Linked DNA regions of Tamandua tetradactyla. The protein of the gene in region 3 binds, or shares a complex with, the protein of the main gene of each other region. Links are inferred from orthologs where the notes say so. Each region holds a gene or a part of one and is shown on either strand. Other genes may lie near its edges. The genes, in order: KLHL12, KLHL42 and CUL3.

Region 1 (10,214 bases), on a different chromosome or scaffold from region 3:
TCTCTCAGCCACTGATACCTTATTTGTAACACTTCTTTTCCCCCTCTTAGTAAGGATGGCATTGTTGATGCCATGGTTTCAGGGCCAGATTCACCTCTGGGGGGTCATCTCCCATGCTGCCAGGGAGACTTTCACCCCTGGACGTCATGTCCCGAATAGGGGGGAGGGCAGTGGTTTCACTTGCGGAGTTGGGCTTAGAGAGAGAAAGAGAGGCCACATCTGAGCCACAAAAGAGGCCCTCCAAAGGCGATTCTTAGGTATAACTATAGGTAGGCTAAGCTTCTCTGCTATGTACAGCTTCTTATAGTTTTAATGGGAAACGTGTCTTATTCTTCTTTGGCTTGGGAGCCAGGTGATCTATTCAGCCAACTGAAGCCTTGAAATCTAGTTCTGTACCTGAGTCAGTCATGAAGGAGTTTCACATAATTCTTGCCTAGGCTCTTTAACAAATAATGAAGAACTTAAGGTGTTTGTTCTTGGTGTTCCTTAAAAGATAGCTATATAAGCACTTAGACATTTGGGCTGTGGAATAAATATCTGCTGTTATCCATCTGGCTAAATTTCCTAACTATTTACTGTTCACCAAAAAATAGCTAATTAATATAAACATTTTAGAATCTAGAGTAAGATAACAATGACTTCCACACAGTGGCTCTTTCATTGTTTTTATGTTTGCTTTGATCAGGAGTGTTCCTGGGACTTGGCTTGAGTGGTGTTGTGCCCACCATGCACTTTACTATCGCTGAGGGCTTTGTCAAGGCCACCACAGTGGGACAGATGGGCTGGTTCTTTCTCATGGCTGTGATGTACATCACTGGAGCTGGCCTTTATGCTGCTCGAATTCCTGAGCGCTTCTTTCCTGGAAAGTTTGACATATGGGTAAGAAATGACTCTTCCAGTAGGGACTATGATGGTGAGTGGCCAAAGTAAAGTTAAAGGTTGAGTAAAAAGGTGGTAATAGACTTAGGAATCTTGCACTGTTTGTGCATTACATATGTATATACACATAGAAAAAACTGTAAAAAAATAATATTTTGGTGTACTTTTGAGCAGGACTATTTTAAAAGTTTTCTATAATAAAGATATCACTTTTATGATGTAAAAAAATAATTTTGTTAAAGAAACCGAAAGAGGCAGATGTTTTCTCCCACTAGAATTTCTTCTCCTTTTTTGCCATTATACTAAAGGCTTTTCTTTTTTTTTATTCCTGCAGTTCCAGTCTCATCAGATTTTCCATGTCCTGGTGGTGGCAGCTGCCTTTGTACACTTCTATGGAGTCTCCAATCTTCAGGAATTCCGTTATGGCCTAGAAGGTGGCTGTACTGATGACTCCCTTCTCTGAGCCTTCCCACCAGAGGTGTGGCATAGGAACTTCCCAAGTGCTTTTAAAAATAACTTCTTTGCTGAAGTGAGAGGAAGAGTCTGAGTTGTCTGTTTCTAGAAGAAACCTCTTAGAGAATTCTTTACCATCAAAGCTTCAGCCCACTTTCACACTCACTGGGCAATAAACTTTCCATTTCCATTTCCCCTAGTTGGTGGGGAAGAGGATAGTCCAATTTATCCCTCCCCCTCCGTAAGGCAACTACCATTCCCTCAAAGAGACAGTACTTTGAAGCTCATGTTGAGATTTTACTCCCTCCTCAGACCATTTTGAGAAAAAATGATGAACTGGGACTCTTTAGAAATTCTGTTTCTGAAAGAAAATGTCCCTTCCTTACCCCAATCCTTATTTTGTAACCTGGCTTATGACAGGCCATCCATTTTTGTAGCAGACTTTTCAAAAACAATTATAACCTGGTCCCATCTTTTTAGGGCCTGAATCTGAGTATACAGCAGCAAGATCAAAGCCACCAACTTTTACATAGCCCGGCTAATCATGGAAGTATGTCCAGGCTTCAAATAACTTGAGTTTTAATTTTTTTTTTCTTGGCAGAGTAATGTAAAGTTAAAATGGGAAAAGATATTTAATATTTAATACTAAGCTTTAAAAAGAAACCTGCTATCATTGCTATGTATCTTGATGCACAGACTATGACGATAATAAAAGAAAAGTACAGAAGATACTTGGCATTCAAAGATTTAACATTTCAAGGTTTCAACTATTTGCATACTCCAGAGGTCTACGACATATAACAGTTTCAGATTCTGCTGAGGCATAAACTTGAATCATGAGCTCTGACAGACTGGTATATGTGGGCCAAGAAATAAGCCTAACTGAATTCCTAGCATTTGCTCCTCAATGCAGCTTATTTTTCTCTACCTATTGCAAGACATTTTATTGGGAAAATTAATATTCTATAATGGTATCAAATAATTAGAGGATTCTTAAAGATGTTGGGATCTCCTAAAATTATCAAAGGTGTACTATATATTATTTTAGAGTTAGTTTCTATTAACACTGCCTTGGTTAGGCTGTCTCATAAGGGGTCATTCAATGCCTTTCTGTGTCTTTGTGAATTATACTCAAGTTCTGCTCATAGATAAAGTGAGGCCTACAGTAATTACTTCTCAGCTAATATAGGGTGTTGAAGGAAAGTCTTCTTGGGTAATAAAGTTGGATTCACTTCAAGTTTGTACAACTCAGGGAGCAAGTGATGTTTTTAAAGAAATAATTCAACTAGGCAACGAACAAGAAGTTTCTCAACCTCAAGTGGTGATAGAGAAATGTAAAATACCACAATGATATTGCATTTCCCTACAATCAAATTGGCACAAATTAAAAGGCCTAAAATATTGAGTATTCACAAGGATGTGGAGCAGACCAAATGCTGCTGGTAAAAGTACACATTGGTGTCACCGCTTTGTGCAGATATGCATCAGTATATGCCTTGTGCTCATAAACAAAAAGTTCATTACAGCTGCTTGTAATAGCAAAATATTGCAAACAGCCCATGTCCAAAACTGTTAAATGGAAAAATAAATGTCGTTAAAGTTCACATAATGAAACACTAATAGTGAAAATGAATTACAGAGAAAGCAATGGTTGAATTCAGAAGTAAATTTGTGGAGGAAAGCAACTTACAGATGAATACATATGGTTGCATTTATATAAAGTTCAGAAATGTGCAAAACTAAAGATAGTTTAAGGATACAAGCAAATGGTAAAATCTTAAAAAGGGGAATGTTAATTCAGAATAATGGTTATGTCTGAAGGGTAAGGCACAGGGTGGGAGGAGAGGGACACACCATGTTTCAATGGTAAACTTTACATTCTTTTTCCAACTAGATGATGGGTACCTGGGTATTCATTGCACTGAATATTTCAAAGATACAAGTGTTTTATATCTATTTGATATTTAGTAGAAAACTTTTGTTAGCAAAAGTCACAAACTGGTTACTTGCAGGCCACAACTGTCTACAAACATGTTTTGTTTGCACAGTGGGAACAGTCGACTGAAGCTGAGTAGCAGCTATGTCCTCTAGAGAGGACTTGTGTAGTTCATTGTCCCTACCTAGCCTGCTTCACTCTTAGGAGTCATCTGCCTGGTTTCTGGAGTCATCTCTGAGTTTGCAACCACCAGTATATAACTGGAAGGAAAGTTTGGGAACACATCTGATACAACTCCATCCACTTCCTAGGTGAGGAAGTAATGAGGTCTGGAATATGTGCTGAAGCCTAGTGTATGCTTATTGTTTCAGCAATAAGGCCAGAGACGTGGATCTGAGAAATAACAAATATTTATTGAGCACCTCATTGTATCTAGTATTTAAATGAGGTAGGAACTTGATAGTGTCCTACTTTTAGGGGCCACAAATGCCTTCCAATTAATTGTCTTGGGGTAGAGGAAGCAAAGCAGAATCACTTCAGGAGAGATGAGTAGCCCCATTATGATGCAGAGAATGTGAAGGTTTGTGAATCGCAGAGCTCAGAGGTGTCTCACCACAGTGGAGGTCTGCCCGAAAAGGTCGTTGTGGAGAATGGACCTAAAGAAATTGGAATCTTCTGTGGGTTTTCTCGATGGGAGAGGGTTCCTAAATAGCTGGCAGGTAATACGTACTCCCTGGAATCAGAACCTTAATTTACAAATCCTTGGAATCCTCTAAATCTATTCTGCCTCGTGAGCCGTGGGGAGATGGGGCTCAGCCTCAGCCAATCACCTAGCTGGAGAGCAGTACGTCGCCCTGCGGGCCGGACCCGATTCAGCGCCACCTTTCTCGTTTCCTCTCTCCCTAAACGCACCGAAGCTGGGCATCTGGGTAGAAACTGGTCACGTGAAATGGCTGGTCACGTGACGCAGACCCCGAGGAGGGAGGGGGCCATCTTCCAGCTGCGTTACGTCATCACGTAGCGCGGCGGCGGTGAAGAGAGCGGCGACCAGCACGGTGACCGCTCCAGAGCCTCCGGGTTGGGGCGGCGGCGGTGGCGGCGGCGGTTCGGCCCCTCCTGAGCCGCCTGCTAGCCCCGCGCCCCACCCCACCCCCACGGGCGGGGGACGGGCCCGGCGCGGCTGGGTGGGCTCGGGAGTGGAGGTGAGTTGCACGGAATTGGAGGCAGTCAGCACGTTCCTTCTTACCTTTTAGCTCCCAGTATGGCCCTTCCCCCTTTCGTCGTCTCCCTCCGGGGAGGAATGGAAGGGACGCCTTGGGGAGCAGGAAGGCTGGGGGCATTTAGCAGCTGTATCCGTCCTCTCTACTGCGCCCCACGGCCCCCTCTAGTCCCTCCACCTCGTGGTGCCAGCCAAAATGCTAGTGTCAGAAGAAGGGAGCTCTTTTCCCTTCCCTTTTCTCCTACCTCGATTTTATTCCTAACAAAATTTGCCCCGGGTCCCCAATCTCCCATGGTTGAACCCCTCTATTCACATCTTAAGGGAAGCTCTGGAAACGGTCACTCAGAAAGTTGTGCGTGAGGGTTGTGGCTGAGACTTTGCTGGATGACAACTTGAAGGACAAGTAAGAAGACCTTGCTGCAATAGCGTTTCTGTCAGTTTTGACACTGACACTCTAAGTCTAGTTGTAGGCTGAGCCTGTGATAACCACCCAGAAAATCTTCACAGTAAATGGGCATTTGTTCAAATCCTTCTTAAGCCCTACAGTTGAACCTAAGTTGATTTTAGGAAAATCTTTTTGAAAAACATCATATGCTTCCACAAATCACTTCCTTTTCTGTAAAATGAGTATTGCAGAGAGTTGTTCTACAAGTATCTACAGTGCTTACAAAATAACATGCTACCTGTAGACAGAAGTAGATGAAAATTTGTGATAGCAATGAGGGGCTAACTTAAGTATGATTACACCTTGTTGACAAGAAAGCACTCCTTAAATTGATTTTTTATGTGTAATTTATTGAGTTCATTTCATTAACATATAAAATGAACTCTGAAGGTGACAAGCTACGGCAGTGCAGTTAGTGGTGTTCAGATAGGTTTTTAATCTAAATAAGGGTCTCTGAGTAAAGAAGAATTACTATAAATATTGATTTGTTAATGTTGATGGACGTTTACTAATAACATAGAGTAGGAAAATCCTTTTCTTGAAGGACTTCTGTTGCTTCATCAAGTAAAAGTCCATAGGCAGCTTGCATGGTTTCCCTTATGATATAGGCTCTGGGTCATCATTTGAATTTTATTTTGAGACCCAGATATATTTGGAGGTCATAAATCATTATTTACATTCCTCTTTAGAAAAAGATATTCACTGACTTTGACCTTTCTTGCTCTCGGTTAAACTCGCACTTTGTTTATTCTTACATTCAAGTAACTAACAGTTACTCTGTGCCTGCTGGGCTAGAAAGATATATAACATGGGATCCCCATTCACTAAGTACTTATCATCTACTGATGGGTATAAGTTTGTAATATTACTTTTAAAGAATTTATCATTTCATCATTTCAGACAACAACCTTATGAAAATATGTGGGAAATATACAGTTTCTATTGATGACAATAACTGTCAGGTGGTAGGGACACTCAGTATTAAGAAATCAGAGGAGGGCCAAGATGGTGGCTTAGCAATGTGTGCATTTTAGTTCGCCCTCCAGAACAACTACTAAATAACCAGAAACAATACAGAACAGCTCCTGGGACCACGTGAGTGACCAGACACACAGCGTACCCCAGTCTGGACCAGCTGGACCTGCTGCGAGCTTCCCCAGAATCGTGAGTTTCCCAAGCCGTGGCAGCTGGCGCCCCTCCCCCACAGGCTGCTTCCCACAGGAGAAAGGAAAGAGACTTAACCAGCAGCAGGGGCTGAGCCCAGCCAAACGCCAATTGTGACATTAATTAACAAATTCTGTCTACTGAAAGTAGGCTCCCAGCTCAGGTGAACCTGATCAAGGTGGAGGTCACTCATTTTTGCCCCAGCACCAAGGGGGCAGGGCTGATGGAAAAAGAAAGGGGATTTATTTATTTATTTTTCTTCATGGGCAGGCACCGGGAATCGAACCCGGGTCCTCGGGCATGGCAGGCAAGCACTGTTACCTGCTGAGCCACTGTGGCCTGCCCAGAAACAGGTTTTTGTGGCTATGTTTCTACAAAGGCTGACTGCCTTTGGATACAGTGGCAGGGCTTCTCAGTCTGCAACTGCTCCAGGCATAGGCAGAAACAAGCTCGTTTGAGGGCTTGTCTGGAGCCTGTGCCTTCCCCAGGAGAGGGGTGAAGCCCAACTCAGGTGGAATCCCTCCCTCAAGGAATTCAGGCACCAGGGCTTGGTAATTTGAAGCCATTAAAACCAGCCTACAACCTCTACTCTGTCTCCACCATGCCCCCAGCAGGGAGAGTCTGCCAAAGTTAAAGGTACTGCATCATCTTATGTTGGTGGGACCAGCAGGCAGACAAGCAGCACATACTGGGCAGGATAAGAAAAACAGAGCCCAGAGACTTCACAGAAAAGTCTTTCAACCTGCTGGGTCTCACCCTCAAGGAAAACCGACACAGGTGACTCTTTCCTCCTGCTAGGAGGCCAGTTTGGTCTGGGAAAATCCAGCTGGGGTCCATAATAACTAAGTAGACCCTCCTAAGTGTGTGTGGGAGGAAGACACCGTACAAGCAGGGCAAGAAACAAGAAAACAAGAACTGAAAAATTCTCCGCTGTTAAACAAAACCTGAGCTAGAGGTCCAGATAAAGCTGAACTGGATGTCAAAGAATAGATAGACAACAAATCCACCAAGAAAATCCTAGGTAAAAGAAGTGAAAGCAATCTCCAGAATAAAATAACTAAGGTAATTAAATGCCTAGACACCAGCAAAAAAAAAATAACAAATCACACTAGGAAAATTGAAGATATGGCCCAGTCAAAGGAACCAAATGAGATACAGGAGCTGAAACAATTCAGAATATATGAACAGATATGGAAAACCTCATCAAAAACCAAATCAGTGAATTGAGGGAGATATAAAGAAGGCAAGGAGTGAACAAAAAGAAGAAATCGAAAGTGTGAAAAAACAAATCAGAACTTATGGGAATGAAAGGCACAGTAGAAGAGATGAAAAAAACAATGGAAACCTACAATGGTAGATTTCGAGAGGCAGAACATAGGATTCGTGAGCTAGAGGATGGAACATCTGAAATCCGGCAAGAAAAAGAAAATATAGGGGAAAAATGGGAAAATATGAGCAGGAACTCCGGGAATTGAAGGACGATATGAAATGTATGAATATACATGTTGTGGGTGTCCCAGGAGGAGAAGAGAAGGGAAAAGGAGGAGGAGGAGGAGAAAAACTAATGGAGGAAATTATCACTGAAATTTCCCAACTCTTGTGAAAGACTTAAAATTACAGATCCAAGAAGTGCAGCATACCCGAAAGAGAATAGATCCAAATAGATGTACTCCAAGACATTTACTAATCAGAGTGTCAGAGGTCAAAGAGAAAGAGAGAATCTTGGAAGCAGCAAGAGAAAAGTAATCCATCACTGTGCTGGTTTGAAAGGAAGCATGCCCCCTAAGAAAAGCCATGTTTTAATATAAATCCCATTTCATAAAGGTAGAATAATCTCTATTCAATACTGTATGTTTGAAACAGTAATGAGATTATCTCCCTGGATGATGTGATTTAGTCAAGAGTGGTTGTTAAACTGGATTAGGGGATGACATGTCTCCACCCATTTGAGTGGGTCTTGATTAGGTTCTGAAGTCCTATAAAAGATGAAATATTTTGGAGAATGAGAGATTCAGAGAGAGCAGAGCAGAATGACATAGCCACAAGAAGCTGAAGTCCACCAGCCAGCGGCTTTGGAGGTGAAGAAGGAAAACGCCTCCCGGGGAGCTTCATGAAACTGGAAGCCAGGAGAGAAAGCTAGCAGATGATGCCGTATTTGCCATGTGCCCTTCCAGCCAAGAGAGAAGCCCTGACTGTGTTCACCATGTGCCTTTCCAGATGAGAGAGAAACCCTGAACATCATCAGCCTTCTTGAACCAAGGTATCTTTCCCTGGATGCCTTTGATTGGACATTTCTATAGACTGTTGTAATTGGGACATTTTCTCGGCCTTAGAACTGTAAACTAGCAACTCATTAAATTCCCCTTGTTAAAAGCCACTCCGTTTCTGGTACATTGCATTCCAGCAGCTAGCAAACTAGAACAATCACCTACAAGGGAAGCCCAATAAGACTGCATAGATTTCTCAGCAGAAACCATGGAGTCAAGAAGACAGTGGGATGATATATTTAAATTATTGAAAGAGAAAAACTGCCAACCAAGAATTCTATATCCAGCAAAATTGTCCTTCAAAAATGAGGGAGAAATTAAAATATTTTCAGACGAAAAATCACTGAGAGAATTTGTGACCAAGAGACCAACTCTGCAAGTAATACTAAAGGGAGCACTAGAGACAGATACGAAAAGACAGAAGAGAGAGGTGTGGAGAAGAATGTAGAAAGGAAGACTATCAGTAAAGGTAAAGAAGGAAAATTAGATATGACATATAAAATCCAAAAGACAAAATGGTAGAAGAAAGTACTACCCATGCAGTAATAACACTAAATATTAATGGATTAAACTCCCCAATCAAAAGACATAGACTGGCAGAATGAATTAAAAAACAGGACCCATCTATATGCTGTCTCTACTCAAGGACATGAGGGCAAGGACACAAATGGACATTTGCACACCAGTGTTTATAGCAGCATTATTTACAATTACCAAGAGATGGAAACAGCCAAAATGTCCATCAACAGATGGATAACAACAAACTGTGGCATATACATACGATGGAATATTATGCAGCTGTAAGACAGAATAAAGTTATGAAGTATGTAGCAACATGGATGGCCCTTAAACATTATGCTGAGTGAGATTAGCCAGAAACAAAAGGACAAATACTGTATGGTCTCACTGATATAAACTAAAATTAGTGAATAAACTTGGACTATTTCATTGGTAACAGAGACCATCAGGAGGGAGAAATAGGGTAAGATACTGGATAATTGGAGCTGAAGGAATACAGATTGTGCAACAGGACTGAATATGAAAACTCAGCAATGGACAGCATAGTACTACCTAACTGTAATACAATTATGTTAAAACACTGAATGAGGCTGAATGTGTGAATGGCAGAGGGAGGAGGACTGGGGGCATAAATGAAATCACAAAGAAACACGATAAAGATTGAGATGGTATAAGCTAGGAATACCTAGAGTATATAATGATAGTGACTAAATGTATAAATTTTTAAAATATTTTTGCATGAGGAAGAACAAAGGAATGTCATTACTGTAGGGTGCTGAAATAGATGGTAATTAATATTTTAAAATTTTACCTTATGTGTGAGACTAAAGCAAAAATGTTTATTTGGTACAAAATTTATATTTTCACTAGTACATCTCCTAATATAACTTATGTAGATAGTTGGTTGGACAACTTAAGTACATGGAACCTTGGGTAGGATATGAGATTTTGTTGGTTTATCCAGAGTGATGCCCTGATGAATCCCAGAGTGATTTGATCAGTGAGTAGAAAAGTATTTGCAAAGTCCCCTTTGGGGAATGGTGAGAACGGGAAAATTCAACCTCCCCAAGTTGAATTCTTGATATTCTCACAAGCAGTGTGGACAACTAAAGCTATAGGCTGAACCCCCAGTCTTGGAATTTGTTCATATGAAACTTAACCCCGCAAAGAATGGGTCAAGCCTACTTAAAATTAGGCCTAAGAGTCACCCCCAAAAGAGCCTCTTTTGTTGCTCAGATGTGGCCTCTCTCTCCAGCCAACACAGCAAGCAAACTCACCACCCTCCCCCTGTCTACATGGGACAAGACTCCCAGGGGTGTGGACCTTCTTGGC
Region 2 (10,214 bases), on a different chromosome or scaffold from region 3:
AAAGGCAAGAGACAGATGAGTAACAAGAATTACTCCCTGTTTTTCAGTGCAATTCTATAGCTGTTTCTTTTAGGACATGTCCTTGGGACATAAACTGGAAAGTCTACTTTCTAATTGTATAACCTCAAGTCTTTGGTCACAGTAAATGTAGTTTCTTTAGTGTGATATATAGTTCCTTGAAGTTCTCATGTTCCCTGCAGGAATAATGGACCAATCCACAATTGCTTAACCCTTTGCTGCCAAATGGTGTTCAAATATAGATCAAAGTTTCATTTTAAAGAATCTACAAGTTTCACTGTAAAAGCATGTTAAAAAATTTTATTAAAAAAACTTTGTGGTGATTATACAAATATTGAGTATAGAAAAGAGTACATCTCGAGATCAAATATTTTGAAAAGGAAAGGTAGAAATTGGTCTGCAGCATCAGAGAGAAGAATCCACCAGAGTCTGAGATATATGCTGCAGAGCATCTAGTCTTAAAACCTGTCCATGTGAACTGAAATTGCAGAAACCAGAAGCAACTGCAACTCTGAAACAAAAATTGCTATATAGCTTTTATGCTAATTGAATCAAATACCCAGAGCCATTACACTATTGCAACACAATGACAAACTGAGGGGTTCAAAAATTAGCCTCATACCTTAAAGAATAGCATTTTCCACTCATCTCCACCACTGGCTGATTCAGTATATCTGGTGTGGGAACCAGGATTCTTATTTTCTCAAGTGTCCCAAGCGATTTCTTAAGATGTTTGGAAAACACTGATATGGGTTACTGAAATGAATGGTAGTAATGCCTGTATAAGGATGCCCAAATTGAATTAAATACAGTCCCTTTTAAGACCCTGTGCTACTCATTTAAATTGTACCATATGCTTTAATGAAAGGAAGATGTTTAAATTTATTTGATGCTAAGCAGCAAAAAGAAATAGACGCTTTTGGGAAAAATCCTTCTCTAGGGACTAAACAAATAGAAATAATTTTAAATGGTAGTGAAGTAATAGGATAGGTTTACTAAATTCAAAAGACATTTGAAAAACAATATTTCTCCCCCATTTTAAAGTATCAAATTGAATTATTTACTTAACATTTTAAATTCATTAGTGATAAAATTAGGGGAAACTGTTTAAAAAATGAGGCCTGAAATTTTAAATGTTAATTTTTCTTTAAAAATTTTTGCTTTTATTAAATTGATATATATTCACCAAAAAATCCAAACAATATACAAAAGTACAAAAAATTTAAAAACTATTCAATATTTTATAATCTTAACATTTTGATAAACATCCTTTTAGGTAGCACGATGAAAAATAGATATATGTATTCAATTTTACATAAATGGAATCATACCATGTTTGCTGTTCCTGAACCTGTTTTCAAAAGATGCAGTGTAAATTTCATCTTTCAATTTCTCTAAAGAAAGTGCTACATTAAAATTTGTAATGGCTCTCTGGCATTTCATTGCACATACCTACTAACCTACTACAGTTTACTTAGCACCTCAGTTTCTTCAGCTGTAACATAGTGTAAAGACGGCATTATAACTCAGGTAAAACATTTACAAAAGGCCCAGCACATAATAAACAATAAGTGTTAGTTACTATTATTATACTTTTTTTCCCCAATATTTCATTGTTAAAAGCAATACTGTGACAAATATCCTTTACTTACATATTTTCTGCCTGCTAGGTCAAAAGGTATATTTTCCATAATTTCTTAAAGAAATAGCCTAACTCTATATATGATCATTACTTTAGTCTTTTGTAAAACAGTTAGCAGTGCAAAGTGATTGACTGAAGTGAATCGTAGCACGACAAAGACTAATCTTTATCAATAACAGATCTATAAAACTATTCTTCCAGTTAGATATACAAACTATTTCTATGAAGCCTAAAAGTAATATTTTAGGTCATTTGTGAATAAGGAGTTTATATTGCTTCGATTTTGCATTTCTAGCTTAACGGAAAACTTAATGCGTGAATTATTAAAGTGATATGATCTTTTAAGATGCTCCAGGTGCTGAATTACATTATTATCATGATGGGGACCAAAAAACTTGTGGGATTAGTATTATCAGACTAATAACCAGATTCCCTGCCCAAGCTGATCTTGCCCCAGCGATATTACCATGCTTGAACTGCCTTTTTAATACAGATCCTTTTTTGAGTGTGAATTTTTTGGTCTGGTCTAAAAAGGCAAGAGAACACCAGCCTGAGGCGTATCTATGTTGGTTGGGAAACAAAAGCATTCATTGGTGAAAGATTCTAAAGGGACAATGGAGAGACTGAGACTCTGTTCTTGGCTGACCCACTGAATCTGTCTTTGTCGCTAAATAAGGCACAAATAAATCCCAGGTCCAAGTCTCTTCCATAGAGGGGGCGCCTCCCAGCAAAAGTTCCCAAGCCTACTGCCCAATTCTGCACCTGGCCCTTGATTTGCTAAATGCATGGGCACTCATTCCCAAAGTACCTTAGAATGTCTCGACTGCATGCTCATTGAGAGAAGAAGCATGAGAGGTAGGTGAGAGAGTGGTGTTTTATCAGCAGTGACTTAAAATACAGGTAAAACAAGGTGAAGAGCTGGCATCCAAGAAAATAACTCAATGGTGCAAGTCATAGACCCATCTTTTTTCTTCCTTTTCCTATGGAGGCCATAATCTGCCAGAATTTTTCTGTTTTGTTTTGTTTTTAAATTTCAGTTCCTTATTCATGATGCTATAAAGAAAATAATGGGTGATCAAACTTCACTACGAAGTAGCTAAATTACACAAAAAGAAGCATAAATGTGACCAAATTGTGTTGAAAGGATTTCATGTCTTACTGATAGAATTTTCTTTTCTTTCTCTCTCAATTTTTTTTTTTTTACCCTTCCCTCTTCCTAACATAAAATGTAAATAATCATTGGAGGATGTATGGTCTGCTTGAAATAGGGGACATTTATTTATGAAAAGAATGTTATTTAACGACTTGTCATCCAAGAAGAAAGCAGAAGCTAGTAACTTAAAAAATACAAAAATATATATATTATTGGGATGGGGTGGGGAAACCCTTTGGAAAATTAATCTAAGATTTTTTAAAACTTTAAAAATTTTATATATACACACAAACATGTGTGAGAGAATAGTATAATGATGGCTCATGAACCTATCACCCAGCTTAATAATTATTGACATTTTGTTGATTGTTTCTTTCTCCCTACTTTTTTCCTTATTTTAAAGCAAGTCGCAGAAATTATTTCACTTATAATACTCATGAGTGTAAAAAAAGTTTTAAATGTATAATATTGTGAAATTATTACACCTAACAAAATAAAATTAATAATTTATTAATGTAGGATACAGTTCTGTCAGGCCAGACTTTTCTGTGCCCTGACCATACAGTTAATTATGTGGCTGGCTGTGGACCTAATGGTAAAATGGGGGTTCAAGGATAGGTACTGCCTACTTACTAGCTCTGTGACTCAGGCAGGTCCCATTAGTGCTGTAAAACGAGGGACTAGATTGGATGGCATTTAAGCTTCTTCCTAGCTTGATGATTCTGCCAAAATACAGATGATTAAAAAAAATTAACGGCAGACAATATCATCAGAATATGTGATGCAAGGGACGTTATGTTAAGGAAAAATGGCGTTATACTTAGATCTAGTTTTGCTTGTTCACACTAACGATTTGAAGCCATTTGTTGATTCCTTCTGATAATCGCGTTCCATAATTGTGGAAGTGAAAAGCATAATTTAAGAACTCGAGAAAGAAAAAGTGAAATCATAGGCACTCACCTAACCTGATACTCATTCTAACGTGAGGAAAAAAATCCATTAGTAAACCACTGAGGAGTGAATGTTACCTCCTGGTGAATTACCCCCTTCCTAACATGAAATGTTAATTTGTATTATTGGATGTATATTCTGTTTGGACTAGGAGAAATATATTTATGAGGAAGTTATTATTTAATAGTTTGTTATTCAAGAAGAAAGCTGAAGTACGGTAACTAAAAAGGAAAAAAAAAAATCCAAACCCAAATGCCTCGCACGTTAAGAACTATACTAGTTGGCCCTCAAATCTTGGTTTGGGGGACGTTTCCAAGAGTTTTTTTTAAGAGAAGAGTGACCACACCCCTGGTGCTCCCTTTCAAGCATTACCCTTCCTACCCAAAGGTAATTTAGTAATTTCCATTCTTCCCCCATCCCCCCTCCGCCACCTTTTGTGGGATTAATTCGCATTTCATGAGCAATACAAGGGCCCTTCCTATTAATGGGATGAGCTTTACATTTGCGATGCTCAGTGAGAAAAGACAAGATGGTCTCTCTTCAAATACTCCTCAGATTGCTGGGGGAGGGGGAGTGTGAGCAAAAGCCACCAGACTTGATGCCTAAAGATAATATTTGTAATGGCTAATCCGGATAAATCGAAGTAGGAAAAGCAATGGTTGTTAGAAAGGTATTTGTTGGAAAATAATATATGATAAAAGAAAAAAAGGAAGTGTAATCTAACTTTATTTACTTGAATTATACTTCAGTTTGTCTTCTAACAGCATGAAGGTAAGAGGGGGGTCCCAGCAGCAAAGACAACTTTCCAACCCAGTGCACCGGGCGCGCTGAGCCCTGCAGAACCTGCTGCCATCTGCCCGGGCCTTCTGCAAGATGGTTCCTATACGATGACCACACCGAGGAATCAACTGGGTGTCATGACGTGTCCAGAGACTGCGGGTGTACCTCCGCCCTCTAGAACACGGCGCTGGGCTGGCCCAGATGAGCGGCCCCAGCTTTGATGTTTTTCGTTCTCTGGACCCCAGACTGCCTTTGCCTTCATCCGTTCTCTTCCACGCCCGTTTCTTTTTTCCCCTCCGAAGCAGAGCGAAAGAAAACACAAAGTGGGTTCATCTCCCTCCTTTCCCACCCAACTGGTGCGCACCGGGCGGGCCGGGAAGCTGCGGGGACGCGCGTCCGACCTGCTCCCGCCGCCCGCGCGTCGGCATTCCGGGCGGGCGAGGCCTGCAGCCTTCCAGCTCTCGCCGAAAGCCGGATCCAGTTCGCAGGTCTAGCGGGATGCAGGGGTCCTGCGGGCGGAAGTGAGAAGGGAGGCGTGGGAGGAGGCTGCAGGCTGGGGGTTGGGATACCCTCCCCGACTGACGCTGTCGGGAGAGTCCAAGCAGGCACCGCGGCCGCCTCCCGACGTCGGCGCGCGCGAGCTGGGCCTTTTTTGGCGTGGAGGGAGACGAGAAGGGCCGAGCCGCAGCCATCGGGACAGGAGGAGGGGCTGCTTCGGAGGCTCCGCCGAGACCCAAATAGGCCGGGCGAACGCGGGAGCGGGCGGCCCTTCGCCTGCCTCCTCCTCCCGGACCCCATCCCTCGGTGAGCCCAACCCGGAACCCGGAGAGCGCGCGGGGGCGGGGAAGACAGCGCGCAGATCTGGCGGGAACCCAGTCAGCCCGCAGCCCCCCAGTCATGTCGGCGGAGGAAATGGTGCAGATCCGCCTGGAGGACCGCTGCTACCCGGTGAGCAAGAGGAAGCTCATCGAGCAGAGCGACTACTTCCGCGCCCTGTACCGCTCCGGCATGCGCGAGGCCCTGAGCCAGGAGGCCGGCGGCCCCGAGGTGCAGCAGTTGCGCGGCCTCAGCGCCCCAGGCCTGCGGCTGGTGCTGGACTTCATCAACGCCGGCGGCGCCCGCGAAGGCTGGCTCCTGAGCCCGCGGGGGGAGAAAGGCGGCGGGGTGGAGGAGGAGGAGGAGATGGACGAGGTGAGCCTGCTGTCGGAGCTGGTGGAAGCGGCCTCCTTCCTGCAGGTCACGTCCCTGCTGCAGCTGCTTCTGTCCCAGGTGCGGCTCAACAACTGCTTGGAGATGTATCGCCTGGCGCAGGTGTACGGGCTGCCTGACCTGCAGGAGGCCTGTCTGCGCTTCATGGTCGTCCACTTCCACGAGGTGCTGTGCAAGCCCCAGTTTCACCTCCTGGGGGCTCCTCCCCAAGCCCCAGGGGACGTCAGTCTGAAGCAAAGGCTGAGGGAGGCCCGGATGACTGGGACTGCGGTCCTCGTGGCCCTGGGAGACTTCTTGGGGGGACCCCTGGCCCCGCACCCCTACCAGGGGGAGCCCCCGTCCATGCTCAGGTACGAGGAGATGACTGAACGTTGGTTCCCGCTGGCCAACAACCTGCCTCCCGACCTGGTGAATGTCAGGGGTTACGGGTCGGCCATTCTGGACAACTACCTCTTTATAGTGGGCGGGTACAGGATCACCAGCCAGGAGATCTCTGCCGCGCACTCCTACAACCCCAGCACCAATGAGTGGCTCCAGGTGGCCTCCATGAATCAGAAGAGGTAAGCGCCCCAGTGCAGTGCTGCTGCTTTGCCACTCATTCATGTGTTCAATAACGCACTCCGCTAGTGTTTACAGAACAGTCACCGGAGGCTGTGCTGAGGTAGAAATGACATCTTCAGGAGTGTTGCTGGCCTCGATACTGGCAAAATTCCCAGTGAATTCAGAACTTACAAGAAGAGGCTCCAATGGGGTCAGCCAGCTCAATAAGTTTCCTTGTAGGTGTTGCGCCTTTAGGCAGAACGGCCTTCTTTGCCTCTATTCTAGGGAAAAAAAATGATGTGGTTTCCTAGAGTATACTTTCTAAGGCAACTGCTTTTTTTTTTGTTTTTTGTTTTACTTTTTAGGATCTAATTCTCATTATAATGACACACTAGGCAGTAGCCATTAATCTTGATATGGGGGATTTTTTATTTTTCGCAGTCAGTGGTTTGAAGTCCTACACTGGAGCACCAATCCAAGGTCAGGAGACAGATAATCATTAGAGTTTTATACATATTAATTATTTGGGCTTTCCTTTTATTATTTTTTATCCTCTCTTTTGCTTCTTCCTCTCAGGCAGCCATTGCCATTGACTCAAAGCTTGAGCCTTGCAGGAGCCACCTACATACAATATTGGAATGTTTCTATCCACCCCAACCTCCTCTTTTCCCATCCTGCATGTCCTTCCACCATGAACATGGTGACTTGAAGAGAGAAAAAGAAGAGGAGGAGCTTGAGGGGAGTAAAAGCAGGGAAGGACCAGCAAAAGAACAGAAACAATGAGCACAAAGAGCAGATAAAGGAAAAGATGGTAGGAAAGAGAGCTGGTAGAGCCCAGGATGGCTCAGCCATTCAGAAGTGGGAGAAGAAGCAATGCAACCCAAGCAAGGATAGGAATACCCTTTCTTTTGGTCCACGTGTTTCCATCTCAAGTCCATCATTGTCCCTACCCTGAAGTTTGAAGCATGGAGCTCAGTGACCTCATAGGCAGGCCAAGAAAGTCTTAGCAGGAATGAGGAGGACTGGCTTTATTCCTACTATAATATAAAATTCATTTTGCAAAGTCCTCCTTTTTTCTGATCATAATAGAAATTATTATGGAAAAATGGAAATGAATGAAGAAGTAGAAAGACTGTCACTCCTACTTCCTCCTCCTAGAGGTAATAGCTATCTACAGTTGGCATATGTACTCCCAATCCTTTTTAAATGCATTTTTTTACAGCATTGAGGTGATAACATATTTAAATTTTGATATCAGAAATATTATTTTTAAACAGAAATTCCAATTAGGGTGGAAGGCTCAGTAGCTTCTCTGTTCTCTCTAACTTTTCAGTTGAATCAGTTGGTTCTCAGCATGCCATCCCCAGCTCCACAATTCTAACAACACCATACAGAGTTCATTTCTTTTTTTTTTTTTAATCTTTACAAATCTATAGTAGTCTTTTATCCCCCCTCCCCAGGAATGACCTGTCTGTCTTTAAAAAAGAACAAAAAAAATCAAATAATGCATGCATATATGCTTTTTGGAAAAATGAAAATGAGATAGAAAACTATAGAGTAAAAAGTATAAGTGCATTTATAGACATTTGGTATATTTTTAAAATATATTCAAAAGCTGTAAATATATGTTTATATAAATAGATTATAAGTATGCTCATTGTGGTTAACAATGGGGAAATGTATGTGTATATACATGGATACTTGGGTGGTGTGTATATACCTTCTCCATAGTTTTTACTCTAAAATTAATTCTCATTATTATGGCACTTGATATTTCCACTTATATAGTGTATCTGAAAGATTTTTCTATGTCGACGAATGTAGATAGATCTCATACTTTTTAATGGCTGTATAGTATTCAAGCCTATGGATATACCTTAATGTGTTTAGCTATTCCCTTGTCGCTTCCATTTGCCATTATAAGCAATGCTATATTAAACATCCCGGTATGTATGTGTGCATTTTAATAGACATATGTGAGCTGGTTACATATGGCAAATTCCTCGAATCCCTGGTTAGGTGGGACAAAATGTATGCACATTTAAAATCTTGGTAAGCTACTGCCAGATTGCCCATTAAATAATTGTTCTAATTTCCCCTCCCACCAACGTTGTTTGAGCTTGCCAGTTCCCTGTACTCTTGCCAAGACAAGATATTATCATTTTTTTAGAAATTTTTTGCCAATTTTATGAGCAAAAGCACTCATCTTTCCCTGATTAGAATAGACACTTTTTTTTCATATGTTTATTGGCCATCTGCATTTCTTTTGTAAATTACCTGTATCAACTTAAAAAAAATTGGCTTATCTTTTTCGTATTCATTTGCGAATGCAGGTATTAATCTTTTGTATTATGTAATATTGCACATATTTTTCTTCTGTCTTTATTTTATGGTACGGTTCAAAACTAAAATGCCTGAAGTGACCTCATAGGAAAAGTCAGTGAAAGGACATGTGGGTGGGAGTGATGGTGAAAGAGAGAGCTACTACCCCATCCAAAGAGACCACCAGCGAGTGCCAAATGGAAGTAGGAATTTGATGGTATTGCCACATCTGCTTTTGTATGTGACATCAAAACAAAAACAGAAACATAACACTTTGTGAATCAGAGTACAGCCCAGAACTGGCCTCGTAGGCTTTCTGGTTTTGAACTTAAGTTTTGTTGTGTATTCTTGGATAAAGAAATTAAAAAAATGTTTCATAGTCAACATTGTGATGTGTGTCCTGTGAGCATAGTATCTTGCATTGGGGGGCTTTTCCAGGGCAAGGGCGTGAAAGTCCTCACCTGTATCATGTCCCTATACTTCATAGTTTTCCTTTTTTACATTTAGATCTTGAATAGATCCCTAACTATAGGGGTTTATTTTCATATAAGGTACAATGGACAGTTATAACATTTTTTCTGTCTTAATAGCTCTGATTCTTCTGAAGGCAATTTGCAAAAGCAGTGTCATATGCTAATTTTCCTGTTTCCAAATTGGCAGATTAGCCATTTCTGCGTCAATAAATTTTTTTAAAAATTACTGTCACTTGGTAGTGTATTTATTGTCTGGTAGAGCAAGAAGAAATACCTAATTGTTCTTTTTTTTTTTCTTTTGTTCTTTTAATTCCGTTTGCTATTTTTTGCACATTTTCTCTTTCAGATAAATTTTAGAATCAGCTTAACAAGTTCTGTTAAAAAGACCTGTTGGGATTTTGTTTGGAATTATATTGTATTTACAGATTAATTTGTGGGAGGATTCACATTTTTATAAAATTTGGTAGCTAGAAAATTATCTTTTTTTTGAGTAATTAGGTCTTTGGAATTTTTTGGTTTACTTTCTTATCTTTGTGACTCAGGTCTTCCTGAACTTTCTGCTGGGCTAAGTGCTCCAAGTTTGTGCCCCTGTAGCATCTCATGCCCACTCCTCACCTTGAATTGAAATTTTCTCCATGTTTGTCCCCCTTGCGGTCCTGAACTATGACTTAACAAGAACTTATTTACAGGGTATGTCATTTTGTTGCTTTGGGCCTTATTGTGCTTTACAGATATTGTGTTTTTTATAGATTGAAAGTTTGTGGTAACCTTGTGTCGAGAAGATCTAGTAACACCATTTTTTTCACAGCATGTGCTCACTTGATGTCTCCGTGTCACAATCTAATAAAGGTATCTACACTTAATAGACTTCAGCATAGTGTGAATATAACTTCTATATCTACTGGGAAACCAAAAAATTCATGCGACTCACTTTATCGTGATATTCACTTCATTGTCATAATCTGAAACCAAATCTGCAATATGTCTGAGGTGTGCCTGTTGATTTGGTTTGTTAAAGTTGCTGGAATGCAGTATGCCAGAAATGGATTGGCTTTTATCAAAGGGATTTATTAAGTTACAAGTTACACTTCTGAGGCCATGAAAATGTCCAAATTAAGGCACCAGC
Region 3 (10,214 bases):
TTTATCAAACTGTCTGAATTTGCATCACTTTCATAAACAGAAAAGCTACCAAAATTAATCTATTGCTTTGACAGACTATATTAGAATAATTTTCACCATACATTGTAATAGATTCAGACCAAATGTAATTTATAATGCATTTCAATGATTTACTCTTACTAGTAACGCCAATACGTTTTTGCTGACCTTACTTAGACAAAGAAGAACTATTTCCAAAAGCTACATTATTTAAAACTATAAATGGTTCAGTAATTTTTACAAAAATCTAAAACTGCTAAAAAAATCCATATAATCTTGAATGAAAATAAGAAAAAATTACCTCTAAGATCTTCCAATTTTTATTAAAGGGAATGTACCTACTTTCTCCAGTCTTAAATACATAATCTTCCAGAATTAGACAAATGCTACTATTAGCTATATTTCAAGACTGAGTAATATACAAACAAACGAAGCTTTCTCTCTTTTACTTGAAGGACTCAAACTTGTGACCAATGTGCAAAAATGCCAAATTTTCACATAATATTTACTACCAAAATAGTTTAAAATTAATATTGGTACTAATAATTTTCCAGTCTCCCCTAAAATGCTATCTAGAAAGACAATGCAAAATAAACACTTTATAGATGGTTCCTAGTCCAGATAAACCCAGAAACCCTGAGTTACCAAGTCTCTCCAAAAACATCAGCCACTTACATGTCCCTACCTCTTAACGTTGACATCCCTTTTCAACATTTAGTATTTAGAATAGTCATTGCCCAAATATCCCTAAAGATTAGGAGAAGGATCAAAGGAGCAGGAATCATAATAGAAAAGATTTGACAAATGACATGACTACTAAAAATCATTATATTAACATTTCTTTTTAGTCTTAGAGCAGCTAAAAGGAAATAAACCCATACCACACACTTAAATTTTTTCTATAAAAACTACCTGTTAAAATGTACTCTGAAATTTACTGCTTTTTTATAGATTACATTTCACAACTAAAAAAGTAAAAAACAATAATAATAATAATGGGAGGCATAGGACCTTCTAATTGTTATTGGAAGAGCACAAAGTTTTCCTTATTGAATGTTCACAGGAAACAAAATTAGCGGAAAAAATACTTTATAGATAACTAATTTACACTCCTTGAATTTCCCAACTTCTAAAGTCAGAGAAACAGCTACAACACAGCCTACTCTCCCAGAACTATTAAACAAGAAAATCATTAACACTTCAATGCATGTTATATCTTATTCCAAAATTTCCCTCTAAGTAAGTATACAGAGAATGAAAAACAAATTTATAGCTAATTCTATTACTCAGCTCTCCTACCTATATAGTTCAGATAGTTCTAGGTAAAATTTCTCTTCCCTGAGAAAGAGAAACCTATTATGAAGATTAAAGCTGTTTCCCAAAATCTGGGAAATATCACTATAGTTAGAAAAACAAAACAAAATAATTCACTATCCCCATTTTATTCTTAGACTTTTCTTCCTTTTATCTTAAATCTCATTCATTGGGTGGTACACCAGTAGCTCAGTGGCAGAATTCTCTCCTGCTCTGCTGAGACCGGGTTCGATTCCCGGAGCTTACCCATGCCAAAAAAAATATGAAAAAGAAAAAAGAAACTCATTTATTTCATTAATATCAATCCTCTGTGGGTTCCACCAAACAAAACCACATCATTCACTGTCCATACTCAAAGACTACTCCTTATAGAGCTCTTCTAGAATTATGCGGTGATTTCACAAAAGGAGATCTTTTCTTATCATGATTTAGCACACTTTTATTAACTAGTACTTGAAGTCATTTCCAGGGTCTCAAGATAAAGGTCTTAAGAGCCTGATCACCTTCACTCATTTTCCTAATGTCTTCTGAAGTCTGAAGACTGAACTAAGAATGACAAAACCACAGTGGACAGCTTTTTCATTCAAACATTTTCGTTCTGATAGCAAAAAACTTTCATACCTTTGTGGACCCAAACTCTAACAGTACAGATGGGCGAGGTATGGCTTTTCAAAGATAGGGACAAAATGTTCATCCTACAGTAACCAACCAGACATAGTGAAAGAAAGACTCAGGAGTAAGACACATGCAGGCAGCAAGGAAAAGAGTAGGGATTTCTTGGGGCAGCATTATTTGGTTCAAACCCATATGACTTTTTACAACTATAGCCTGCTGCTTCCTTATATGTTTTGTGGCCTTGCTCTGACTTTAGGTACCAAAAAAACATTTCTTAAAACATTAACACAAATGAAATGACAAATATTTTGTACACTTCAAGAAAGCTTACAAACCAGAATAAACTTATTGTCAGCAGTTTACAAATACATAAAGTTCCTTGTTGCTTTTCATCTTTAAGAGAACCAGTTTCTCCTGAAATCTTACGAAAAGGTCTACTTCAAAAGCAAATAGTGCATTAAATGGTGGTACGATAAAACTTTCACTCTTCAGCACAATCATAAAAGCACACTTTAAGTATGCACTCAAATCACTAAAAAGCACCTGACTTTACTAAGTAGGACTATACCTAGAGTCCACCCACACATCTATACAATATATTTGGTAAGTTCACTCACCACTCCATTTTGCAATGAAAAAAAACGTTCGCAAAATATATTTTCATAAATTCTGACACATCAATTTTGTAAAAACATCATTAGTGAGCACTTGAGACTTGAGGGTAAACTATAATTTCCTTTAACTTCTAAGAAACTATATGGCCACATGGTATACGTAAAACCCACTAGCTGTAAGTATACCACACAAACAATATTTTTTTCTTTAAGGAAGGCTATGCATTTACTACTTCTGACTAGTGACCCATGAAGACTGTAGTTAGGTAGTCAAGGTTGCTAACCTGGAAGAAAAAAAAAAGAATATAAGTACTCAACCACGAGAGGGTAAATCAGTTGAACAGCATTCACAGAAGCATGCATCTGTCCTTAATGAAGGCTCATGGAACTATGAATTAAAAAATAAATATTAAAAAACAATGATTCTTTTCAACAGGAGCTACTTCCAAATAGCTTACTTATAAAATAGTAATGAAAAAACTCCCGCTTTTAAAAATTAGATTTTTTTAACTACTAAATATCAAACCTTGCAAACTTTTATTAAAGGATTTTAGAAAAACAGGACAATAAAGTATAGACAGAAAGGGTCTAAATTAGCTCATAACCATACAGCACTGTAAATAACATTAAGTAGAATCTTAAAACATTCATAATTAAACCAATTCCAGTACTATTTGTGAACCTATCATCACAAATATTTGTCAGTTAAAGGATAAAGAAAATTCACTTCCATCGAAGCCCTGCAACAATACACGTTCCAGAAAGCAGAGATCTTGGTCTTCCAAGCTATACAGATTTACCCCAAGCCCCTAGAATAGCATGTGGTTCATATACTCAATAAACATTTGCTGAATGAAAAGAGGGGGAACAGGTAAAAGCAGGCAAATCTAGAGATCAAACAGTCGGTAAGTAGGTAAAGGTGAAAAGAGAAACAACTCTTTAATCAGTATAATATTATCGTAACAGGTGAGTTGATGTTAAATATGAGCTACTCCACATTTTAGCAACAAATCTCAACTAAAAGAGCTCAGACTTCAAGAAAGAGCAGTTTTAAGATAGTAAACACTTCCTAGAAAATGTGTTGTCCATTTAATTGACAAAAGTCTGAATAGTTCTAAACTCTGCTAAAAAAGGTCTTAGTAGGAAAACGTTACTCACAAATTCATAAATCCAGCTCTTTGCCCCATCACGAGAAAAACATGCCAGTTACATTTGTACTCTTACCAACATTTCTCATGTTCTAATGCAATTTCTCACATTTGCTTAGGGAATAAACTTTAAAAATTCAAAACCCGTTTAAACAGTATCAAAACATGTAATTCTCTAGAGTACATCCTACCTTTATTTACATAGTCTTAAATTTCTAAACAATGACATTTCAGATTTCTGCACCAGTGTATTTTCTTTTTCTCCGGGACTGTTACTCATTCAACTACGACAATTATATTAAGTTTTTTCTCTCTGCAAACAGTGTACTTTAGAAAAAGCACGCTTAAAAAAAAAGTACAAATGTCCTTCCTTTCTCGCTCACCTGATGTACGTTTATGCTTTTAAGAAAGGAAAATCAAGATCTTTCTCTAGTTTGACTTTTTAAAATTAATCCTAGTTCAACTGCTACTTTGTCTATCCTGTCGTATGCCTGTTACCGTAGCGACAAGAGCAAGTATGTCCAGTTTCTGTTACAGCAGCGCATTTTAATTGCTTGCCATTGGCTATCTGAATCAGATAGGAAATCAAAAGTTATACCCTATCTAACCAAACGCCGCAAGCGTTTGACTCAACGCGATACATAAAAACAAAGTTTCTAAACATAATACATCTGCTGTCACTAAAACCGATAGAGTAATGCAACTTAGGGCAACGACTATTCATTCGTTTGGACTTCCAAGGCTGGGAAATCGAGGACCAATTGTCCAATCTGTTCTCTCTTGCTTCCCCTAGTCCCTGGTGAGGCAATTTCTGCACGAGAGAAATTGTGAAGTGCTTTGGACGGTTATGGGAAGAAAGATGTGATAAATACACGGATTTATTAGCATATTACCATCAAGCATTACGTGGAACCACTGTCACTACATCGAGAGTAAGTTGATGGCCCATAACCCTTCCTAAGGAGGGAATAGAGTAGGAGATAAAGAAAAAGAGAGAGAAAGGATAGTCCCCTATCACCCTAAAGGCTTGGCCGTCTTTTAGGATGGGTTATTTCTTAAGACGCTGCAAATCACACGTGAAATTTTACACACACACCCCATACAAGGAGGACTACGATACTCCCCATCCCTGCTGGGCTGGAGTCCCAGGAAACGAGCGGGGAGAGGAGTGCCTGGGTTTGGGCCTACACCCCAGTAATGAGGGGAAGTGTTGGGACCAGCGAAGGGGCTCCGGCCGCAGCCGACGCCCGTCGACCGGCTGGCAGCGCAGCTACGGGGCGTGGGGCAGGGAGCCGGGCCTGGGCACGGGGAACGGCCCAGGAGAGCGGCCGCGCCGGGGCCCTGCGCCGCCCGGTTGCCTAGAAGGCTTGCGCCCCGCGGCCGGCGGGCGTGGGGGGAGGGGAGACCGGGCCTGCGGCCTGTTGGGGGACTTCAGCCCGGGCCTCGCGTGCGGCTTTCGGCCGGAGCTCCGGCCCCGGGGTCCCGGGCGCCGAGGAGGTACTCACCGGAAAGGCCCGGATACGCATCTTGGTGTCCTTCCGGCTGCCCGTGCCTTTGCTCAGATTCGACATGGTGCTCGTCCCCTCCCCGGCGGCGGCTTCAGGTCGCACTCCGAGCGCCGGTGTCACATTTAAGGCGGGCGGGCAGGCGAGGGGCGACGCTGGGGGCGGCGGCGGCACGGCCCCCGGACTGGGCTGGGGAAGCTGGCCGGCCCCTGGGCGGCCGCGGCGGCGGCGGCGGCTCGAGCTCCGACGGCTCGGGCTCGGCTAGGGGGCTGCGCTGGCGCGGCGGCTCCGCGGGGTGCCCCTCACGCCCGGCTCGGCTCCCTTTATCGCGCTCCTCCGCGATGGCGGCGGCGGCGGCGACGGACAAACATCTCACTGCGCAGGCCGAACGTCCTCCTCCTCCTCCTTCTCCTCCTCCGCCTCAGCGAGACGAGATCCGGCCCAGAGGGTGGAGGGGGGAGGAGGGAGGGAGGAGAGCCGGAGAGTGGAGAGATTGGGGGGAGGGGGGGACGGGAGGACGGGAGGGGTAGGCAGGCGGCCGCGGCGGGGACGCTCAGATCTCGCGAGAAAGGGGCGAGCGCGCTGCCCCAGGTGGGGCGGCACAGAGCCCGGGAGCGGGAGGGTGCAGCGAGAAGGGAGGAGGGGAACCGGGAGTTGCAGAAATGGGAGGGGCCGCTGGGGCGAGGAGCCGGGGAAAGAGGCGGGGCTGAGGGCGGAAGGAGTTAGCAGCCTTCTCCACAGGCGAGCGTCGGAACCAGGCTCTGGGCAGAGGTGGTTGCTGATTGGTGGGGCGCGGGGGTGTTCTGGTCACGTGGGCGAAGTGGGAGGGGGAAGTCCGGAGAGCGGGCGCGGCGGGGAAGTGGACAGCACGGGGTTTGGCTGGGTGGGCAAAGGCTAGTCTCGGGGAGGAGCGTGGGATGCTAGGTGCATAGCTACGTCCTAGAACTGGTTCCTGTGTTTTTCTAGGGCATGTGTACTAGGGATGGGTACCTGGGTAGAAGCCAGAAAGCCGAAAGAGTTTGTGCCAGAGTGTCCTGCAGTGTCGGAAATTAGGGTTCTGTATGCTTAACAGAGTATTCGTACAGGTTGTGCTCACCGAGCTCTCAGGACTTAGTGGTGAAGGTGTTAATCCGCAACATTTCCTTAAATTGAGGAAGCTCCCAGACTCTGAACTCACTGACATTTTCTGGGGACTAAGGGCTTATTGGTGTTAAAATCTGTTTTTCGTTTCCGTTGAAATACAGTAACTCCCTTAGAGTAGTGCCATAGTTTGGAAAATAGCATTAAATGGAAGATAAGAACCTACCTTTAACCTGTCAAAACATTTTTACCATTACCAAGAGCATTGTAGGTATTTAAAACCAAAATTATTGTCTTTAACTCAAGCTGCTGTAAAATTGAAAGGTTTTTTTTATCACTGTACTCAAAACACTTAGTTTTGACTTGTCCGTTTTGCCTTTTCATTCATTTTGAATTTTACTTCCTGATTTTACCTACTTGCTCAGTTATTGTTATATTTGGGTTTCAGGCTCTGCGGAGGGATGTGTGCATTCCTACTAAAGTATTTGATCTTCACAATTCTTGGAAGGGGCATCTACTTTGGAAAACCGGAGTTTTAATTGTTTTATAACAAAACCGATTAAGTAAACTCAAGTGTGCTTTTTTTAGTTGTTAATTTACGGTTGAATTTGCCCTAAGTTAACATAGTCCTGGTAACTACCTTGTGAGTATGCTTTCAGCCCCTACTTGGTTGACACGCCCCATTGGAAATGTATTTTCTTGTTTTTGATTTTTGCTATTAACCTATCAAAGCAGGAGCTTAAGAAATGAGGGTGTTGCTTGAGGCAATATCTGAATAAATACTGAAGCTAAAAATAGGTCATCAATAACTGGGACAATAAGGTAAGATTGGGAGGGGCTCTGGTTTAAATATCAGATAATATAAATCTTGGATAGGAGTTTATAATCTGTGTGCTAATTGAGCCATCATTTCCATGATCATTAGAATATGAAAACAGCCAGTGCTTTCCTACTGGTGTACTGTCATGTGGCCCAGTTTCTTTGTAATATTGCTTTGAATCCCAGCCTTGCCATTTTACTGGCTGTGTTATGTGTATTTTGGGACAAGAACTTGTGCCTAGAGTTCCTCATCTGTAAAACTGAAATAATAATAATACCTCCTGTTTGGGCTGTTAGCAACTTTAAATGACTTAATACATTTTTAAAAGCCCTGAGAGCAGTGCTCATCAGCTACCCTCTTGGTATCTTGCTTATACTCACAGATAATGGTTTATCTTCTTTTATTTAATATGTGGGTTTCTAAAAGGTACATGTATGTTTTTTTAAAATGTTCATATTTTAAAACTAAGCCAGGCTTCAAGACATAGACTTCACAAACTAGTAAAATATTTTTCAAAATATTAGGAAACGGATGTAGGATTAACAACTTTAATTTGATAATTATGGCATTAGAAAAGAAAAACTACCACAGATTATCCCATCAGTTTAGTAAAGAAAAAGCATTTTAACCACTGAAAGAAGGAAGGTCAATTTTTTAGTAAAGAGCTGTTCTTTACATTGATTAATTTAGCTTTATGAAAAGCAACACATTGTGCTGATTTTTCTTATTCCACTGTAAACCTGAGAAAACTTCATACTCCAGCATTGCATCAATTGTTTTGTGAACCCAGTTTTTCTTACCTTGCTTTTGCTTATGCAAAATTTAGCTGCACTTAAGAAGAATCTTTTCAGCTATGTCTTCTGTTAGGCTTTTAAGCACACACACACACACAAAACAGAAAAACTTCAAAATGAATTTGTCTGTCACTGCCATTAAGAAATCCACTACTCATTCATGTGTTCATTTATTCTTCCGTTCAATCAAGATATGTTTATCGAATGGCTACTGTATGTCAGGCACTAAGGTTAAATGACAAATGAGACCTGCCTTCACAGGACATATAGTCCTATTCACATTCTCAGGATTTGGAAACCACAAACCCATGAACCATTCAGCAATAGCTTTATGTACCCTACGGTCCAGAAGTCAGAAATGTCCTTTCTTAGGAACGCAGCATCCTTTAAATATGTATGACATAACCCCTAAAGTAGCAGTAGACTATTCTTTTATGCCCACTGATAGTCCCTGATTCACAAATAGCAAATGAACTTTCAGGATATTAGCTTTGCTATACAGTTACAGAGAAAGCAGGGCTGGAATAGGAACTCACTAGATCATGCATGCCTGCCAGTTGGAGTTGCTACTTATGCTGACTGTGTCCTGACGTGGGAAAATGGTAGCCCCATTTCCATTGATTTGTATGGAGCATGTGCATAGCAGTCAGGAAGGGGACCTGTGGGCCAGCTCTCTTTCTACACCCCAGTCTGTGAATAGATAGAATGGGCTCTGAAGAGCCTGTGAAAGGGAGTAGCTTCTACTTACTTAGCTGGAAGTTTTAGGTATCTGGGATACCACTGCACTTTAATCACTGTGTCAGACTGCTGATTTGATTATGCAGATATTAAAACAGCTGACACCAATTAAATTAGAAAGATCTGTTCGGTGTATTTGAATAAGGAAAGACTGTGTTAGGAAAAGATGCATGTTTTTCAAATTGGAAGGGAAAGATATAGATTATAAATATTATCATTTCCTTGAAAGCAAGAGCTATGTCTTCTACTTTTTTTTACCTTGTCTCCACCAGACAATTAATAAGCATTGCAGGCCGTTGGACGTGGCTTTGTATATATTTAAGGTAGATGTATGCTTACAAGCTTTGTAAGATAACATGTTAATGGGGAGAGAGTTCCCCATTAAGAACATAACCACAGATACTTTGACCGATTTATTTATTTATTTATTTGTTTGCATGGGCAGGGCAGGGAATCGAACGCAGGTCTTCAGTATGGCAGGCGAGAAGTCTGCCTGCTTAACCACCGTGGCCTGCCCAATCATAGATACTTTAAATACATGAAAACTGTACGCCTTCTCCATGTACCTTTTCTTCTTTGTCTTTACTGTTTTCCTTATATCATTGAGACAAGAAGCATGTGAAACATGAGCATATGAGACAAGCTGCATCCTGAACAAAAAGAAAAATCATAAATGACTAATTACATCATAAAAGCCCATCTCTTAATTTTTCTTCACACGGTCAGGCTAAAAAAAAAAATAATAATCTCCCTGGCAGCTCTGGAAAGTTTCTAGTTGGCCTGGACAGTGTTGTACTTTTACCCAGTAAATTAATATTTTGGCGATAAAAGTACCTACGTACAAAACTAACATAAAAAAAGGAAAAAATACTAACATAATTTAACAATATAAATTCTAAATTAAAAATTATAGGTATCACATCCATGTGATTTTATTTTGAAGCAAAAGAATTTCCTCCAGGGGGCAATTATGAATATGTATTGCTTTCATTTGTGATGAGTAAAATACATGTTGAAATTTATAACTCATGTCAGTCCTTGTGAAGTTAATTGTGGAGTTGACGTAAAGTGTATGTGTAAAGTGACGTATAGCTGTAAAAGTATATAGAACTAAATTTTACACTGGATTTGGAAATTGTAATGAATTCTAACTATGATAGTCAACAAATGTAATATATAGCATTATCTTTAAACTTATCCAATAAGCTATTTGTCTTCAGTTACAATGAACTGTATTCTTAGTTCTTAGAACTAAGTAAAAATCAAAATCTGCGTAAAGCAAAAGAGCCCCAGTAGAGAGAGAAGAAAAACCTTTAAGAAACTAAAAGATATAAACATTGTCAGGGCCTATTTCTAACCCATGATTAATATCATGCATTAATTGTTAATCCTTGTCTTAGTTTGCCAGAATTATTATTGCAAAGACCACATAATGGGTCGGCTTAAACAAGAGGAATTTATTGGTTCCCAGTTTTAAGGCCAGGCGAAGTCCAAAGTCCAGTGTCAGCAAGGCTTGCTGTAGTCCTGAAGACTGTGGCATTCTGGTGCTGGCTGCAGGCAATCCTTGG

The links.
Region 1: CUL3 (region 3) and KLHL12 share a complex: the UniProt entries of both Homo sapiens proteins name them as parts of the BCR(KLHL12) E3 ubiquitin ligase complex. The link is inferred for Tamandua tetradactyla from reciprocal best matches to the Homo sapiens genes CUL3 and KLHL12.
Region 2: CUL3 (region 3) and KLHL42 share a complex: the UniProt entries of both Homo sapiens proteins name them as parts of the BCR(KLHL42) E3 ubiquitin ligase complex. The link is inferred for Tamandua tetradactyla from reciprocal best matches to the Homo sapiens genes CUL3 and KLHL42.

Annotation. Positions count from the first base shown.
Region 1 is NC_135330.1:60,145,970-60,156,183, reverse strand, and holds the start of KLHL12 (kelch-like protein 12), read left to right. Parts: upstream 1-3,847; 5' UTR 3,848-3,918; coding exon 3,919-3,987; intron 3,988-4,326; exon of another isoform or gene 4,327-4,470; intron 4,471-5,914; exon of another isoform or gene 5,915-6,096; intron 6,097-10,214. Other genes in the region: ADIPOR1 (adiponectin receptor protein 1), read left to right, coding at 686-879, 1,214-1,342. UniProt on the Homo sapiens protein: Substrate-specific adapter of a BCR (BTB-CUL3-RBX1) E3 ubiquitin ligase complex that acts as a negative regulator of Wnt signaling pathway and ER-Golgi transport.
Region 2 is NC_135333.1:90,930,185-90,940,398, forward strand, and holds the start of KLHL42 (kelch-like protein 42), read left to right. Parts: upstream 1-4,957; 5' UTR 4,958-5,441; coding exon 5,442-6,313; intron 6,314-10,214. UniProt on the Homo sapiens protein: Substrate-specific adapter of a BCR (BTB-CUL3-RBX1) E3 ubiquitin-protein ligase complex required for mitotic progression and cytokinesis. The BCR(KLHL42) E3 ubiquitin ligase complex mediates the ubiquitination and subsequent degradation of KATNA1.
Region 3 is NC_135329.1:200,348,819-200,359,032, forward strand, and holds the start of CUL3 (cullin-3), read right to left. Parts: upstream 5,398-10,214; 5' UTR 5,281-5,397; coding exon 5,215-5,280; intron 2,940-5,214; exon of another isoform or gene 2,925-2,939; coding exon of another isoform or gene 2,880-2,924; intron 1-2,879. UniProt on the Homo sapiens protein: Core component of multiple cullin-RING-based BCR (BTB-CUL3-RBX1) E3 ubiquitin-protein ligase complexes which mediate the ubiquitination and subsequent proteasomal degradation of target proteins.